2 linked regions of the Tamandua tetradactyla genome follow. The protein of the gene in region 2 interacts with the protein of the main gene of each other region in a pairwise test. Links are inferred from orthologs where the notes say so. Each region holds a gene or a part of one and is shown on either strand. Other genes may lie near its edges.

The links.
Region 1: the proteins of hypoxanthine-guanine phosphoribosyltransferase (region 2) and ISCU interact in binary tests that used the Homo sapiens proteins (3 or more experiments, as listed by UniProt). The two-hybrid records come from large-scale screens. The link is inferred for Tamandua tetradactyla from reciprocal best matches to the Homo sapiens genes HPRT1 and ISCU.

Annotation. Positions count from the first base shown.
Region 1 is NC_135331.1:22,830,476-22,837,757, reverse strand, and holds the start of ISCU (iron-sulfur cluster assembly enzyme ISCU), read left to right. Parts: upstream 1-4,206; 5' UTR 4,207-4,329; coding exon 4,330-4,443; intron 4,444-6,773; coding exon 6,774-6,887; intron 6,888-7,282. Other genes in the region: SART3 (spliceosome associated factor 3, U4/U6 recycling protein), read right to left, coding at 2,619-2,933.
Region 2 is NC_135353.1:27,487,923-27,495,138, forward strand, and holds the start of hypoxanthine-guanine phosphoribosyltransferase, read right to left. Parts: upstream 3,016-7,216; 5' UTR 2,852-3,015; coding exon 2,825-2,851; intron 1-2,824. UniProt on the Homo sapiens protein: Converts guanine to guanosine monophosphate, and hypoxanthine to inosine monophosphate. Transfers the 5-phosphoribosyl group from 5-phosphoribosylpyrophosphate onto the purine.

The DNA of each region.
Region 1 (7,282 bases), on a different chromosome or scaffold from region 2:
CTGATGTCCTAACTTCCTAGCAGTGTGAAAAGTACTGATCTGAACCTAGAATGAGCGTGGAGAAAAATGAGAGGCGTGGTAGAAAGAAAACAACTGGTGCAACCACAGGAAGAGCAGAGAAAAGAGAATGGAACCAACCTTTGTATAGCAGCTACTATGCATAGCAGAGCCAAACTGGGCAATTTTACATGCATTGTGTCACTTAACCCCCATTAAAGCCCTGTGAGAGGCATTACTACAATCTCCTTTTTACCAACTGGGATAAAATAGGCTCAGAGACTTGAAATAACTTGTCCAAGGTCTTCTGACTAGTAAGTGGATCACCTGATTTGAGTATAGTTTGCAAAGCTATACTCTTTGTGCTGCACCATGGTACACTGACAAATGTGCTTAAGGCACGAGGAGGTGCTACTTTTAGTTTCAGCCCAAAAACACAACTAATATAAAGTCTTTGTTTTTGTTACATGAACAGATATCACAGCAAATCACAAGCCTGCATAAAATAAACTCAAGAACGAAAACTGGAATACGCAGATGTGGCAAGGCCAAGATCTGCACCGCCCTATTTGGAAGTTACTTGTCATTATGCTCTACTATAAGGGCAGTTACAGGAGGAACTAGAGGCTGTGGGATTACAATGATGTGGGAAGGAGGTATGCAAATATTGGAAAAATAAATTTTTAAAGCCCAAGATAAAGAGGATAAGGCCAAAGACCCTTAGCTCACTATCACTTACAAGGTCGCATACTGTGTGGACACTTTCTAAGCTCCATACCAACCTAGGTGAACTAAAGATATAAGTCAGGCAGGCAACTGCACAGCATCCACTGCCAGCATACCTTCACTCTGACCCCTCCTCCCCATTAGTAAAACTGTGCACGATCAAGGGCTTCATATCCATTCCAAGCCTTCCCTTCCTACTAAAACAGGTGATCCTCATGTAACAGTAAGGTCAAAGTGAGCTGGCTCATCAAAAGGCCCAGAACTAGAAGTTTGAAGAAATTATTTCAATGTAGGCAGGGAAACAGTCAGCCTAGCACCCAGAATCACACTGTATTTGCTGAATGAATAAAAGACTGAATAAACTGCAGCATATTTATTTATAAAAAGGAAAATTGTTAACTGCCTTCTAACCTCTGGTTGGTTCCTTTGACAATGAGATGCAATGATAAGTGGAAGAAGATAACCAAAGAATATCACTGTTTCATAACATAAAAATATCAATGCCAGAGGGAAAATTATCATTAACCTTACACTCCATAAGATTAAATGAGTAATCTAGGTTAATAATCTTCATATCACAGAGAGATTTCACATCTAGTGTTGCATTTGATCCAGAGGCTACTTTGAAAGCTTCTGAATAGTAACTCACTTTATCATTTGTTCTGAGCCTCTGTTTCCTCATCAGTAAAATGAAATGTGCTCTATCTCTTCTGTTTCTTCCTCCAAATTCATCCACCCTCTCCTCTGCCCTGCCCTGTGCTGACCACATTAACAGATTCCCTAGCCCTCTAATAATCAGGTGAGTTTGCCCAGCAGGAAGCACCCAGCAGACTTTCACAGGGAGGAGAGAGAGAGACAAGGGAGAAGGAGGCCAGGGTATTTCTTCCCCTACCCCAACTCCTGCCGGGAAACTGAGGCTGCATCTCTTGACCAAAGGTCTCAAATCCTCTCAGGTTCCCTCTCTACCCATCTCTTCTACATGTCACTCCCCTTGCCCCTTCAAGTCTAAAGGTGGAAACAAAGTCCTCCTATTATTAAATGGTACTAAACTTTGCTCCTGATTTCCCGGTCCACACTTTTATAAATGCAACCGTCCCTTTATCAACCTTTCCTCAAATTATCCTAACTTGAGTGTACCATCTATTTCCTGCTGAGACTTGATTTATACAGGAGATAATACCACCTACACCTCCCAAGACTCTTCAGAAATTAGCAATCTGGTTGACATTGGCTGCCAGGCACTCGGCTATCATAACTGTCATGGCAATGCTAAGATACAGAAATTGCCACTCCCTATTTACAATTCAGGAAGCAAAGACTCAGAGAATTTAAGAAAATCGCCCAAATGATAGCCGGAACTGGCGCCTTTAGCCTTGAGAGCCAAAACTTCTACCTTCCCATTTCTGTTGTCATGATTACCGTGAATATTTTTCCTACTACATCATATTTCATTAATGCTGTCCTTCCTACAGGAAAATTATTCTCTCTTACAAATGAGATTTATTGTTGCTGTTGAACGCAATTTAACTGTGTGGTTAAGAATGAGAGTTCTGGTGTTGGTTCAGCGTTCAAAGCCTGACTGGCCACCTGTAGGACATGAAATCTTGAGCAAGAGACTTCCCTCCACAAGCCTCAGTTTCCTCCAGTTAAAACGAGAATACACTATTTCCTTCACTGGGTCGTTGTTAGGATTTAATGGAATACGCTTAGAAAGCGCCCCACACGCAGGTAATGCTCAAACGATGGCGCTACGGTGACTGAAAAAGAGTTACTGCGGCCTTGGGGGCATTACTGCTGCGGACGGGAGAGGTACCCGAGCAAGCGCAGTCGGACGAGGGGCGAGCCCGGACCCGGGTACCTGAGGGAAAGAGCCCGCTGCCCACCCCCGAGCACACCTGCTCCTCCAGCCGCTCGATTTCCAGCTGGTTCTTCTCCTCCTCTTCGTCGTACTCCCACTCGTACTCCCCGGGGGAGCTCTCGGCTGAGGAAGCCATGGCGTATTCCTCGTCTCCATCGCTCTCACTCACGCCTTCCTCCTGCTGATCCCACTCTGGCCCCATGGTCTTGTATGTCGCAGCGGCCACAGCCCGAGATAACACCTTCCTCCTCGTCCTCGTCGCCTTAGCCTCATCCTCCTCTCCCTCAGCCTCGGGCCCAGCCTTGAGCTCAGCCTCCGATTCTGAAGCCGAGGTTGCAGCCGCCGTCGCCATTTTGTGCCTCGGATAATTCTCGGGTCTTCGCTCCGCCGCCGAAGACCGACGGAAGTAGAAGCTGCCCGCGGCGTGCGCCTGACCAAAACCCTGCTCTCTCGCGATCGAAAGGAAAGCTGTGAGCCTCGAGTGACAGAAAAATCTCGAGATACGCTCAATTAATACTATTTTTATGTACTTATAAAAGCTCCCATCACAGAAAAGTCTCATTAATATAACATGACTTTCGTTACAACTTCGGACAGAAGTTGGATGTTTGGACAGGAAGTGGGGGGGGAGCAATGAGGTTGTGGCGCCATCTTGAGAAGGTCAAAGTAATTCTTGGAACGGAGACCTTACTAAAAGTAAGGTCTGATATGGCTCGTTGTTTAGTCTCCCCAGCAACCGAGCCCCAAACGCGGAGAAAACTCCACGTCCTCCGGGAAGGATAGACTGCGCTACTCGTGAGAAAAATGCATTGCCCGAAACGATTCTTCCCCTTTACGTAATGCGAATACTCCTGAGTCTAGTTTTAAAAAATCATATTCTGCACATCTAAAATATTAATTAAAATAAAAGTTAATACCAAGCATTAATTGAGAAACTCAGTTGCCTGGGATTACCATATACATTTTGTTGTTTGCGGTTATTTTCTATATGGAGACTATATATTATATATATGTATACATGCTTTTTTTTAATCAGGGCATGGTGTTCGTTTCTCTAATTAAACTTCCCATTTTTGAGGTAGTAAAGTATTGACGTGTTTCCTTGTTTATTGTCTTGAGCAAACATGTTTTGCTTTTCGTTGCATTCCCAAAGCCTGGTATGGAGACTTAACGTACGTAGTCAACACGTATGTGCTGAGTGGATGAAAAAATTCCCCTTAAATCAGAACAGATGACCAAATCATAAAGACCTGATATCATTCGCTTAGAGTCACAGAGACAGGAAGACGCAGAACCAGAATTCTAACCCAGGACTGTCTTTGCTGGAATCCCAACTGTATACCTAACTCTTTGAGCGAGTTACTAAACCTCTCTGAACCTCAACTTGTTTGGCTGCAAAATAGGTTAGGAAAAGTGGATCGGGTGATCTGTGCATTCCAGCGGTGAGCTTAGCCAGCTCAAGCTTGGGCACAGCGTTCAAACCTTAAACCCGTTCCTGCATCCAGAACCCAACACGAAAAACAAGATCTTATAGTAACTTCAGACCTTCCCGCGCCCCGCCCCGCCCCTTGGGGGGGCGTGGCCAAGGTAGAGCCAAAGAACAGACTGGGCGGATTGGAAGTGCGCAAGCGCGAAGATGCCGGGACGTAAAGCGACGCGTCCTTGGATCCGAAGTCCCGAGTCAAGTAGGCGGCGCGCTTCGCAGCTTCAGACTCGGTGTGGGCTTGCGTTAGGGGCGTCCCCGCAACATGGCGGCGGCCGGAGCTGGCCGTCTACGACGGGCTACGTCGGCCTTGCTACTGCAGAGCAAGCGCCTGCCCGCCCGGGAGCTGTCCGCCCCGGCCCGGCTTTATCACAAGAAGGTAGGAACGAGTAAAGGGGTGCACAGGGCCCGCACCGGCCGGGGAGTGTAAGTGTGAGGAACGGAGAGGGGACGGTGGGGGGGTCGTCCCCTCTCCCGTCTTCTGTCTCGACTAACTTTTCCTCGCTGCGCAGTAACACTAACCGCAATACAAACCAAAATAATAACGCTTACAATAGCGGCTACTTCCTGTGGGCCTCGCAGCTGACTGCTGTTTAGTGCGCCTTTAAACTTCCCAGCAGCCCGGGTGGGCTACACCCCACCGCTAGGGATCCACTTTAGCCAGACCACTGCCCTAGCTAAGTGACCTTGGGCGAGTCACTGCCCCTCGCTGAACCTCAGTTTCCACACTCATAAGATAGAGGTCTTAGCAGTCCCCTCTTACAAGAGATGATGCTTGTGACGTGCTCGGTGTGGTGTCTGGCTCTTAGGCTCAACATATAAAAACTATTAATGCTGCTGTTGTAGTAAAATTATCTCAGGTAGGCCTTATGGAAGTACTGGTTTCTGCCTTTTTGGAGCACACAGCCTCCTGTTGGAGTCAGACGTGTCACCAATAATCATGTTTTTGTTTTTGTTACGTTTTGGGTTTGGGGCCGGGGGCTGCGAAGTTTGCAGCCCTGCCTTCTGGGAGTTTAAGGTATCTTAGAGATGAGACTTTCACTTGGGATTGGGATAAAAAAGCAAAGATTGCTGGCATTCAACATATGGCAATATCCAAATTAGATATTATTTTGTGGGTCCTTGGGCTTAATGTTAAAATCCGTGGAAGGATAGAAGAGGGAAGAAAACAAGAAGATCAAGACACTTAACCGTTATTTAAGCCTTCTGTTTGCCAGTTTGAATGGACATTTAGTCTGGTTTCTGCATATTTGCCCACAGCTCAGGATTATCACACCGCACACACACCAGTGTTTTTTGACAGTACACTCAGTGAATTTAAAGCTAAAAGCTTTTCAGCCACCAGGGTGCACTGTTTAACCAGCCTGATTTCAGAGTGTCTACAAGTCACGTGGAAACTTCTGGAAAGGACTTCAATTTCTGAAACATAGTTACTTTAGAATTTTCTAATTGTAATCATTATCCTTTAAGAGTGGATTTTATTTTGAAATAACAAAAATGCTGCTTGAACCTAAATTGATGACTTGGATGGGTACAAGTTGAAGTAATCATTTGTGATTAAAAACCTTAATGGAGAGTGGGTTACCGTGGCTCAACAGGCAGAGTTCTCACCTGCCATGCTGGAGACCTGGGTTTGATTCCCAGTGCCTACCCATGCCAAAACAAACAAAATCTTAATGAAACCAAGACATGATTTAGGTGATTTTTCTCCAGTATCTCAAACAGAATCTGAAGATAGGAGTGGAAATACGAAAAGACTTTGGGTCATGAATAAAGCCTTGTTGACATGAGTGTAGACTGGTATTTTTACAGGTTGACTGCCAGGTTGCAGGCCTTGTGCCAGTCTTTGAGGGAACACGGATTAGTAAGATTCAATTCCCTACCTCCTGGAACTTAAATTCATGTCGAGGAGACCAGTATCAAGAGTGATCCCCAGGGATGAGCCTGGCCCTAGCACCATGGGATCAACAGTGCCATCCTGACCAAAAGGGGGGAAAGAATTGTAACAAATAAGGTATCAGTGGCTCAGAGAGTTCAAATAGAGTCAAGAGACTACTCTGGAGTCTACTCTTACCCAAGCCACAGCTAGATATTGCTATTTATTATAGTTTGCCAATCCCCAACCAAACCATTCCTGCCCACCCTAAAGAACACCTAAAGCATTATATAAGATTCTACAAAGGTACCATGTACTATGATTACTTTCCAGAAACCTACAACCTCCAGATGGGTTCCTAGGCCAGATGATCCTGAAAGCAGAGGGGCCAGCCTCTCCAGATCATCAACTAATTCCATCCCCCAACCCACATTATTTACAGCCCTTTCCAACATGAAAAAGTCAGAATATGCATAGCTCAAATACCCCTAAAGATTGGGAGAAAGATCAAAGGAGAATGTGGAATTATAACAGAGAAGATAGGACTTACTAAGTGAGCCAGACTGCTGAATCACTATACTGATATTTCTTTTAGTCTCCAATGCCTTAGAGCAGCTAAAAGGAAAAACTTAAAACTGTGGAACTTCAACCCATACCAAACTCTAAAATCTATTCTATAACTAATTGTTGCAGTGTGCTTTGAAATTTATTGCTTTTTTGTATATATGTTACTTTTCACAATTAAAAGAAAGAACAAGGGATTAGTTACATAAAGTATGTCATAATCAAAAAGAAAAAGAGTGATAATGATTCTCTTAACCCTCTCATTTCAGGTTGTTGATCATTATGAAAATCCTAGAAATGTGGGGTCCCTTGACAAGACATCTAAAAATGTTGGTACTGGCTTAGTGGGGGCTCCAGCTTGCGGTGATGTAATGAAATTACAGGTATGGCTGGTTTTCATCCTTAAAGGTAATAACGTAATCCCTTTGTTTTTACAGTGCTTTGCAGTTTAAAAATCATCTGCACACACAGCGTTTCATTTGGTCTCCATTTTTATTCCTGCGAGATGGCACAAGTTGATGTTATAAATGATTAGAGCAGAGACTGAATCTTAGTTCCTCTGTTTGTATGTCTGACCTTTTCTGAAATAGTAAACCAAACTCACCTTTGTACTCTTAATTTCAGCTGCAGCTATGTAAAAAGTTTTTTGAATTTTACTCATCAAAGGAAAACCACAACTATTTGGTTAGCAAGCCCCAATCCAATAGGGCAAGAAATGCAAAAAATCATACCTCTCCCCAGATTAGAGGCAACATGAATGAGGTGGCTGGTGCTTTAG
Region 2 (7,216 bases):
AGCAGGGTCACATTTAATTATTTTTCCATGTGAGTATCCTGTTATTGCGGCTCCACATGCTGAATTTTTTGTTTGTTTTTGTTTACTTTGTTTGTTTTTCAAGGGAAGTGCATACACTAGGACTTGAACCCGGGTCTCCTGCCATGGCAGGCAAGAATTCTACCACTGAACTACCCTTGCACACCCCTTGCCCCAATGTAAATTTCAGTACTGATATTAACAAAGGAGGTTGACACTTAGTGAATCCACACAATATGCCATTACAAAAAGGTAGAAGAGTACACCAGCACACCTTTAGTGTCTCTTCACATCAGGGCAAAATAAAAGACATGGCTCAGTTATTGCCTAAAGAACTACCAAAACTCAATGAAAACTCCAAGATTCCTCTTCGCTGCTCACCTGGCTGATTTACTTTTCTTTTTCCCACCTCTATGGACTTCCTGCAATACGCAGAAACAAATAATGGACAGAAAACAATTAAGAAGGATCTGCAGTGTGTATGTCATGGCACTCTATTCACAGAATGAAACTCCCAAACCTTACTGCTCCATTTCTTGGTGGTCACAAAGAATAATTTTGTTCTATACCTCTAGACAAATGTCAGTCTAAACCCTGTGGATTATGATCTAAGTGATCTTTCGGCAAGTTACTTCACTTATCTGTGCCTCTGTGATCATAAAAGTATTTATCTACCTCATAAATACCTCATGGGAGGCTTACAGTAGACAATGTCTGCAACATATTTATCTCAATGCCTAAGACATAGGAAGTACTCAATAATATTCACTATTGTCACTAATAATTTAAAAGTGTAGAGGCTAAGAGCAGATTCTGGGGCCAAATAACTTAGGTTCAAATCCTAGAATTGCTGGTGATCTTGGACAAGTTACCTAACCTCTCTGAGCTGCACACATTTTTAATGAAGATCAAATCAGTTACTATACATAAAGGGTTAAGAACAGTGCCCAGCATTTAGTAAGCACATTTAAGTGTTTGTTATTGCTAACATGCAAACAATTTATGGGAAGGAAATAAAAAAAAAGGAAAAAGAATTTGCAAACTGAAAACACAATGAACAGCTTTATGTTCAAAAAACCCAAACAAACAAAAAACAAAGCACAAACAACAGCTCAGTTTTATCACATCATCACTAGGTCACTATACACTGGGGCAGGCATCATCCCCCAGAGCTTTAAAAGCATCCAAAAGTATATAAACTTGAAATCTAACTTCCTGGACAACTGAATAAAAACAACAGACTGCCTTTTTTTGGGTACCTACATTAGCATAATACTTAAGAGCACGGACTCTTGAGAAGGACATAAGGTTTGAGTCCCATCAACTTCTCTGAATAAATGTGTGCCTAGGATGTGTCTCCTAACCTCTCTGAGGCTCCAAAGATTCCGTATTTGTAAAATAGGAATAATTATACAGATACTACATGGTTATTTTCAGGGTTAAATAGGACTATCTGTATATAAAGGACTTGACACAGTGATGGCTATTTCCAATACAGTGCAAGAGTGTTTCTTCACATAGATGGGCTTAAAATCCTTTCAATAACATCATAAGGTAGCTAATACCGCACTTATACATAAAGAAAATGGAGACCAGAGATGTTAAGTAATCTGCCCAATGCCACACAGCTAATAATAAATGGCCCAAAGAAACAGAATTCCAAGCCAGAATTCACTAGGAGTACTGCTCTTCGCCATCTACTCACAACGCCTAATAGAAAACAGAGTCCTCTTTTTCTTGGGGCTCAAATGGTTAAGTATTTAATCTGCTCACTCAACAAATTATGCCCTACATGCCAGGCACTGAGCTATGTGCTGGAATTACAGTGGTAATTCCTGCCTTTTTGAAGTTTATGTTTCCGTGGGAGAGACAATCGACAGGTAATCACAAAAATAAGCAATAATAATAGCCAAACAGGCTGAGGCTTTTAACTGGTGGGGGCGTGGTGGCTATTCTGTAATCAGGATCAGAGGTGTTGAGGGGAAAGGCGGGAGAAGAGCCTGGTGGGTTCAGAAAAACAAGAAAAAGAACCAAGGGGGTTGAAGACAAGATGCCAGAGAATGGTTATGATATGTATGACCTTGCAGCCGAAGACCAGATTCGCATTTTGTATCCCCACAGCATCAAAAAATGTGGGATCTAGATTCAGGCACGTCTGTATCGAGGCCTGGTTATCTCTGGACCATGGGAAAATTACCTAGTATCTTCTCACTGGGTACTTCACGTGAAAAATTGGTAGGCATGGTTACCGCTGCCAAGACTGAGAGGATTCAATGAGGCAATGCGCAGCCTCACAAATATTAATACTGTTTGCAGAACGAAATGAAAATACCCACATCCCATCTCATGTGGTCGTTTTCGGTACCTAGGCCCCTCTACAGTGACCTCACCACTGTACCCTAAACTTATCAAGAGAAAGGCTTTTCCTGCGAAAGCCCCCCCCTCCACCCCATCAGCTCATTCCCGAATTGGCCCTTGGCCCCGCCCAACATCACGCTTGGGAGCGGCACATGTCAACCAGATCGCCATTTCTGCCCTCTCCTCTCCCACGCAGCCCTCTTTCCCAGGGCTCTTGAGCTGAGGCACCCACCCCGGACCCCGCCATTCCGTTCCCCCTTTCGCCCTCGCGTGACGTAAGGCTGAATCGGGGAAGCTGTGGCCGCCCTCCGCCCCCAGGGTTTCCCAGGTCACTCCAACCCAAACACGCACTGCAGGCCCCGCGCCCCAGGGCCGGGTCGCCGTCGCTACCGCTGGGCGCGAGCCGCGTGGGCCTGGGCCGGGCAGGGGTGGCGGGCGAGCTGCTCACCACGATACTGGGGCTGCGGGTCGCCATAACGGAGCCTGGCGGAGGAAAAAAGAAGCCGGCAGCGAAAAGGAGGAGGAGATGGAGGCGGAGGCGGAGACGGCGTTGCGCGGGAAGGCCAGAGGTTCGCGGGAAAGCTCTAGGTCACCGCTGCAGACGCTACCGCCGCCGTTCGGAGCTGAGGCAGCGCAGGCCCCGCCCCTCGCCCCGCCCCGGCCCCGACGCTGCGCCCCCCACGCCCTCCTGCGCGTTCCCGCGCCTCTGCCTGCGGCTACTGGTTTCACCTTCACGTGGCGGCCCCGCAAATTTTCGACCGGAAGGAGCGGAATTACCTTCCCCCACCCCACCCCCACCTCCAGCGTAGCTTTTCCCTTCTTTTCCCCCCACCCCACCCCCACCTCCAGCGTAGCTTCTCCCTTCTTTTCCTCAGGCTCTTATACAGAGGGCTCTGAGATTTCCAAACATACCCCCAAAACCCAAATTGGGCGCCGAATTTTCGGGGTCGAGTTACCACAGGGCTCCTCCCGCCAGGCGAACCTTTGCCAAGATTGTGGACTACATTGCGGCTTCCATTTTCCTCACTCGTGGCTCGAAATCCTTAACTGGTTGTAAGGGTTAAAACCCGGAACCCTAGAGTTAGTCATATCAGGGTACAGGTCCCGGGGTGAGGTGGGAGAGGGAGGACACTTAACTGCTCTGTAACCCTTGGGCTCACTTAGATTCTCTGAGGCTCTTTTATGTCCTGGGTGAAAAGGCTGTGAAAACCGAGAGGGTTGTTGTGAGGGTGAAAGCGGATGAGATGTAGATGTAGATGTTTTGAGAGAGCAGTAAAGTACAGTCGTTAGGACAGAATACACTCAGTAAGTGGGAAACATTGCTATTTCCTATCATTATTTTTGCCTCCGGAATTCCCTACTTGGAACTGAAAAGCAAAAAATCCTCCCTATTCCCAAAAAGGTCAGGTTAGCCACAGTTGTTCCAGTGTCACCATTCCGCTGGTCCTTATCTGTATAGCTCCAGCACCCAGCAGAGCGCCCAGCGCATAATTAGACGGTGTGTCACCCACCACCATCCCCCCCCCCCGCCCCATTAAGGACACAAGGATGTGAAACATACATGATGGAGAACTTTACTGAGCCCCAGAACCTCATCTAAAAACTGAGAAGAATAATTCCTACCATGACAAGTTATTATAAGAATTCATAAAAATCATGTCTGTAAAGCACCTACCACCGTACTTGCCACTTAGGAGTAGATGCTTGAGAAGTTGTAGCTGTTATCATTTTAGCCTTTATGAACGCCACACTTCCCAAGTTTCTCTGCCTTCCCTGTCTATCAAGGAGATCCATGGCAGGCCACAAAATGTGAAAGGTACATGTGGACTTTGGACTGAGAAAGATCTGAGTTGAATTTCTGGAATTCACATACTAGAATTATGACCTCAGCCAGGAATCTTGATCACTGAGTGCCTCAGTTTCCTCATATGTTAGATGAGGATTATATCTCCTTCACAGCGGATGGTAAGGATTAAACAAAATAATACATGCAGAAGTGCCTAGCATAGTGCTTGCTGCAGGAAGTGATAATACCAGTGTTACGAGCTACATATCTTTGCCTTAATCAGTTTTTCACTCCATCCTTCTAGCCTCCAAGCCTTCTTATTCGTTCTCCTGTTAGTGGGCATTTTCCAGGTTTTGACCATTACAAAAAATAGCGCTGCTGCTATGAACACTCTATGTGTCTTCTGGTGAATGTATGAGTACATTTCTATGGGGTAGGGGCATTGAAGTTCAAGTTAACACATTTTTATTACTTCTCCTTTTAATTAACATTGTGTTCTCCAGGGAAGTTAATTCTGAGCCTTCCCCATTGTCCAGTTAGCCCTGACACATGCAAATTCATTACCTGTATTTGCTTCTAAATTAGGTACTGTTTTAGTTTGCTGACGTTGCAGAAATGCAAAAATGGACTGCCTTTTAACAATGGGGATTTATTAACTTAAAAAATTTACTGTTCTGAAGCCCTGAAAAAGTCCAAATTAAGGCATCAAGAGGACCATACCTTATTTCTGAAGAGAAGTTGCCAGCATCTGGAGCCCCACCCCACCCCCACATGGGAAGGCACATGGCTGAGGTCTACTAGTCCTTCTCTCCTGGGTTTCAGCTTCTGGCTGCTCCTTCAGTGGCTTTCTTTCTGAGTTTGTTTGTTTCTCTAAGCTTTGGTCTCTCTTAGCTTCTCTGGCTTTTCTCCCTCAGCTTCTCTGTGTGCTTCTATGAATGTTATCTCTTATAAAGGACTCCAGTAAGAGAATTAAGACCTACTTGGGACAGTCAGAATTCTTCCAGCTTGTTTCTGGAATTGCAGTTCCATTCTCAGTGCTCTGATGTACCACACACTCCTGCATTTCAACAGCAAATTTTAAATAGTCATTATAAAGGCAAAAGAACTGTTATTTCAATCCTGTCGTGCTATGTGACCACTTAGAGTGCTTGTGTTTTAAATTTTAAATAGCGAACAGAGTGCAAACTGCAAGATGTACTATTTTTGTTTGGTAAGCAATATTTTGATTCGTATATGCTGTTCTGGTTTGCTAAAGCTACTGGAATGCAATATACCAAAAATGGATTGACTTTTACAATGGTGATTTATTCACTTAGAATTTACAGTTCTAAGGCCATGAAAACATCCCAACTGAGGCATCAACAGGATGATACCTAGACTGTGAAGACAGGCTGCTGGTATCTGGGATACCTCTTGTCACATGGGACGGGACATGGTGGTCTGCTGGTCCTTCTCTCCTGGGCTTCACTGCTTTCGGCTTCTGGTTCCAGTGGCCTCCTATCTGAGCTTCTGTGGGTCCTCTCTTAGCTTCTCCAGAGCTTTTCTCTCTAAGCTCTCTTGGCTTTTTCCATCCTTTATCACTCCTAAAGGACTCCAGTAAAAAGGATTACCACAAACCCTAAACGTGGTGGGTTACATCTCAATTGAAATAACTGAACCAAAAGGTCCCATCCACAACAGGTCTGCACCCACAGGAATGGATTGAAAGAACATGGCCTTTTTCTGGGGTACATTACAGCTTCAAACCAGCACATATGTAAAATTGAAATTCAGACTTCTTTGAAAGTTTTATTGTTTAAAACTAAAGAAATCAAGAAAATAACGGGGCAATCGGCATCAGCCTAAAAAATGTGTTTCAGGGTGACGAGCTGCAGGGCCCTGCTGGGCAGAAAGCCCTAAAAACCCGCAGTGCGTGGGAGGGGAAGGGGAATGGGGGTGAGGGAGGTGTCAGGAGTGTCAGGTGACTGCCGGGGCAAAGGCCACGGAAGTGACGTCTCAAACGGACGCCATCTTCCCTGAGGCTGTGGGTGAGGAGAGGGCTGAAGCGGCGTTGAAGAAGTTGGAGGAGAAAGGCCTGAAGGAGAAGAAAGTAGCGAAGGAGGAGGTAAAGGTAGAGGAGAAGCCAGTAGAAGCAGAAATGGAAGCGGCAAAGGAACAGAGAGCAGTAAAATCGGTGGAGGAGGCGCAGGTGGAGGCGGTGGTGGAGGCGGTGGAGGAGGTGGTGGAAGAGGCGCAGGTGGAGGCGGTGGAAGAGGTGCAGGTGGAGGAGGCAGCACAGGAGGAGGAAGCTGTTGAAGAGGCCCAGGAGGAAGCGGTGGAGGAGGCGCAGGAGGAGGCGCAAGAGGAGGCTGTGGAGGAGGCGCAGCAGGAGGCCATGGAGGAGGAGGTGGTGGAGGCAGAGGAGGAGGCGCAGGAGGAGGAGGCCGTGGAGGAGGCCCAGGAGGAGGCTGTGGAGGAGGCCCAGGAGGAGGCTGTGGAGGAGGCCCAGGAGGAGGCCGTGGAGGAGGAGGAGGAGGACGAGGAGGAGGAGGTGGTGGAGGCGGAGGAGGCGGCGGCGGCGGCGGTGCAGGAGGAGGCCGTGGAGGAGGCCGTGGAGGAAGAGGAGGCGGCGGAGAAGGAGGAGGCGGCGGCGGAGGAGGAGGAGGAGGAGGCGGAGGAGGAGGCGGAGGAGGAGGAGGAGGAGGAGGAGGAAGAGGAGGAGGAGGAAGAGGAGGAGGAGGAGGAAGAGGAGGAGGAGGAGGAGGAGGCGGAGGAGGAGGAGGAGGAGGAGGAGGAGGAGGAGGAGGAGGCGGCGGAGGAGGAGGAGGAGGAGGAGGCGGCGGCGGCGGCGGCGCAGGAGGAGGCCGTGGAGGAGGCGCCGCAGGGGGCGCTGAAGGAAGCGGTGGAGGAGGCGCCGCAGGGGGCGCTAGAGGAAGCGGTGGAGGAGGCCCCGCAGGGGGCGCTGGAGGGAGCAGCGGAAGAGGAGCCGGAGGAGGAGGTGGACGTAGAGCTGGAGATGGTGCTGCGGCAGTTGCGGCAGGAGTTGCGGCAGGGATTGGAGGAAGCTGAGGAGGC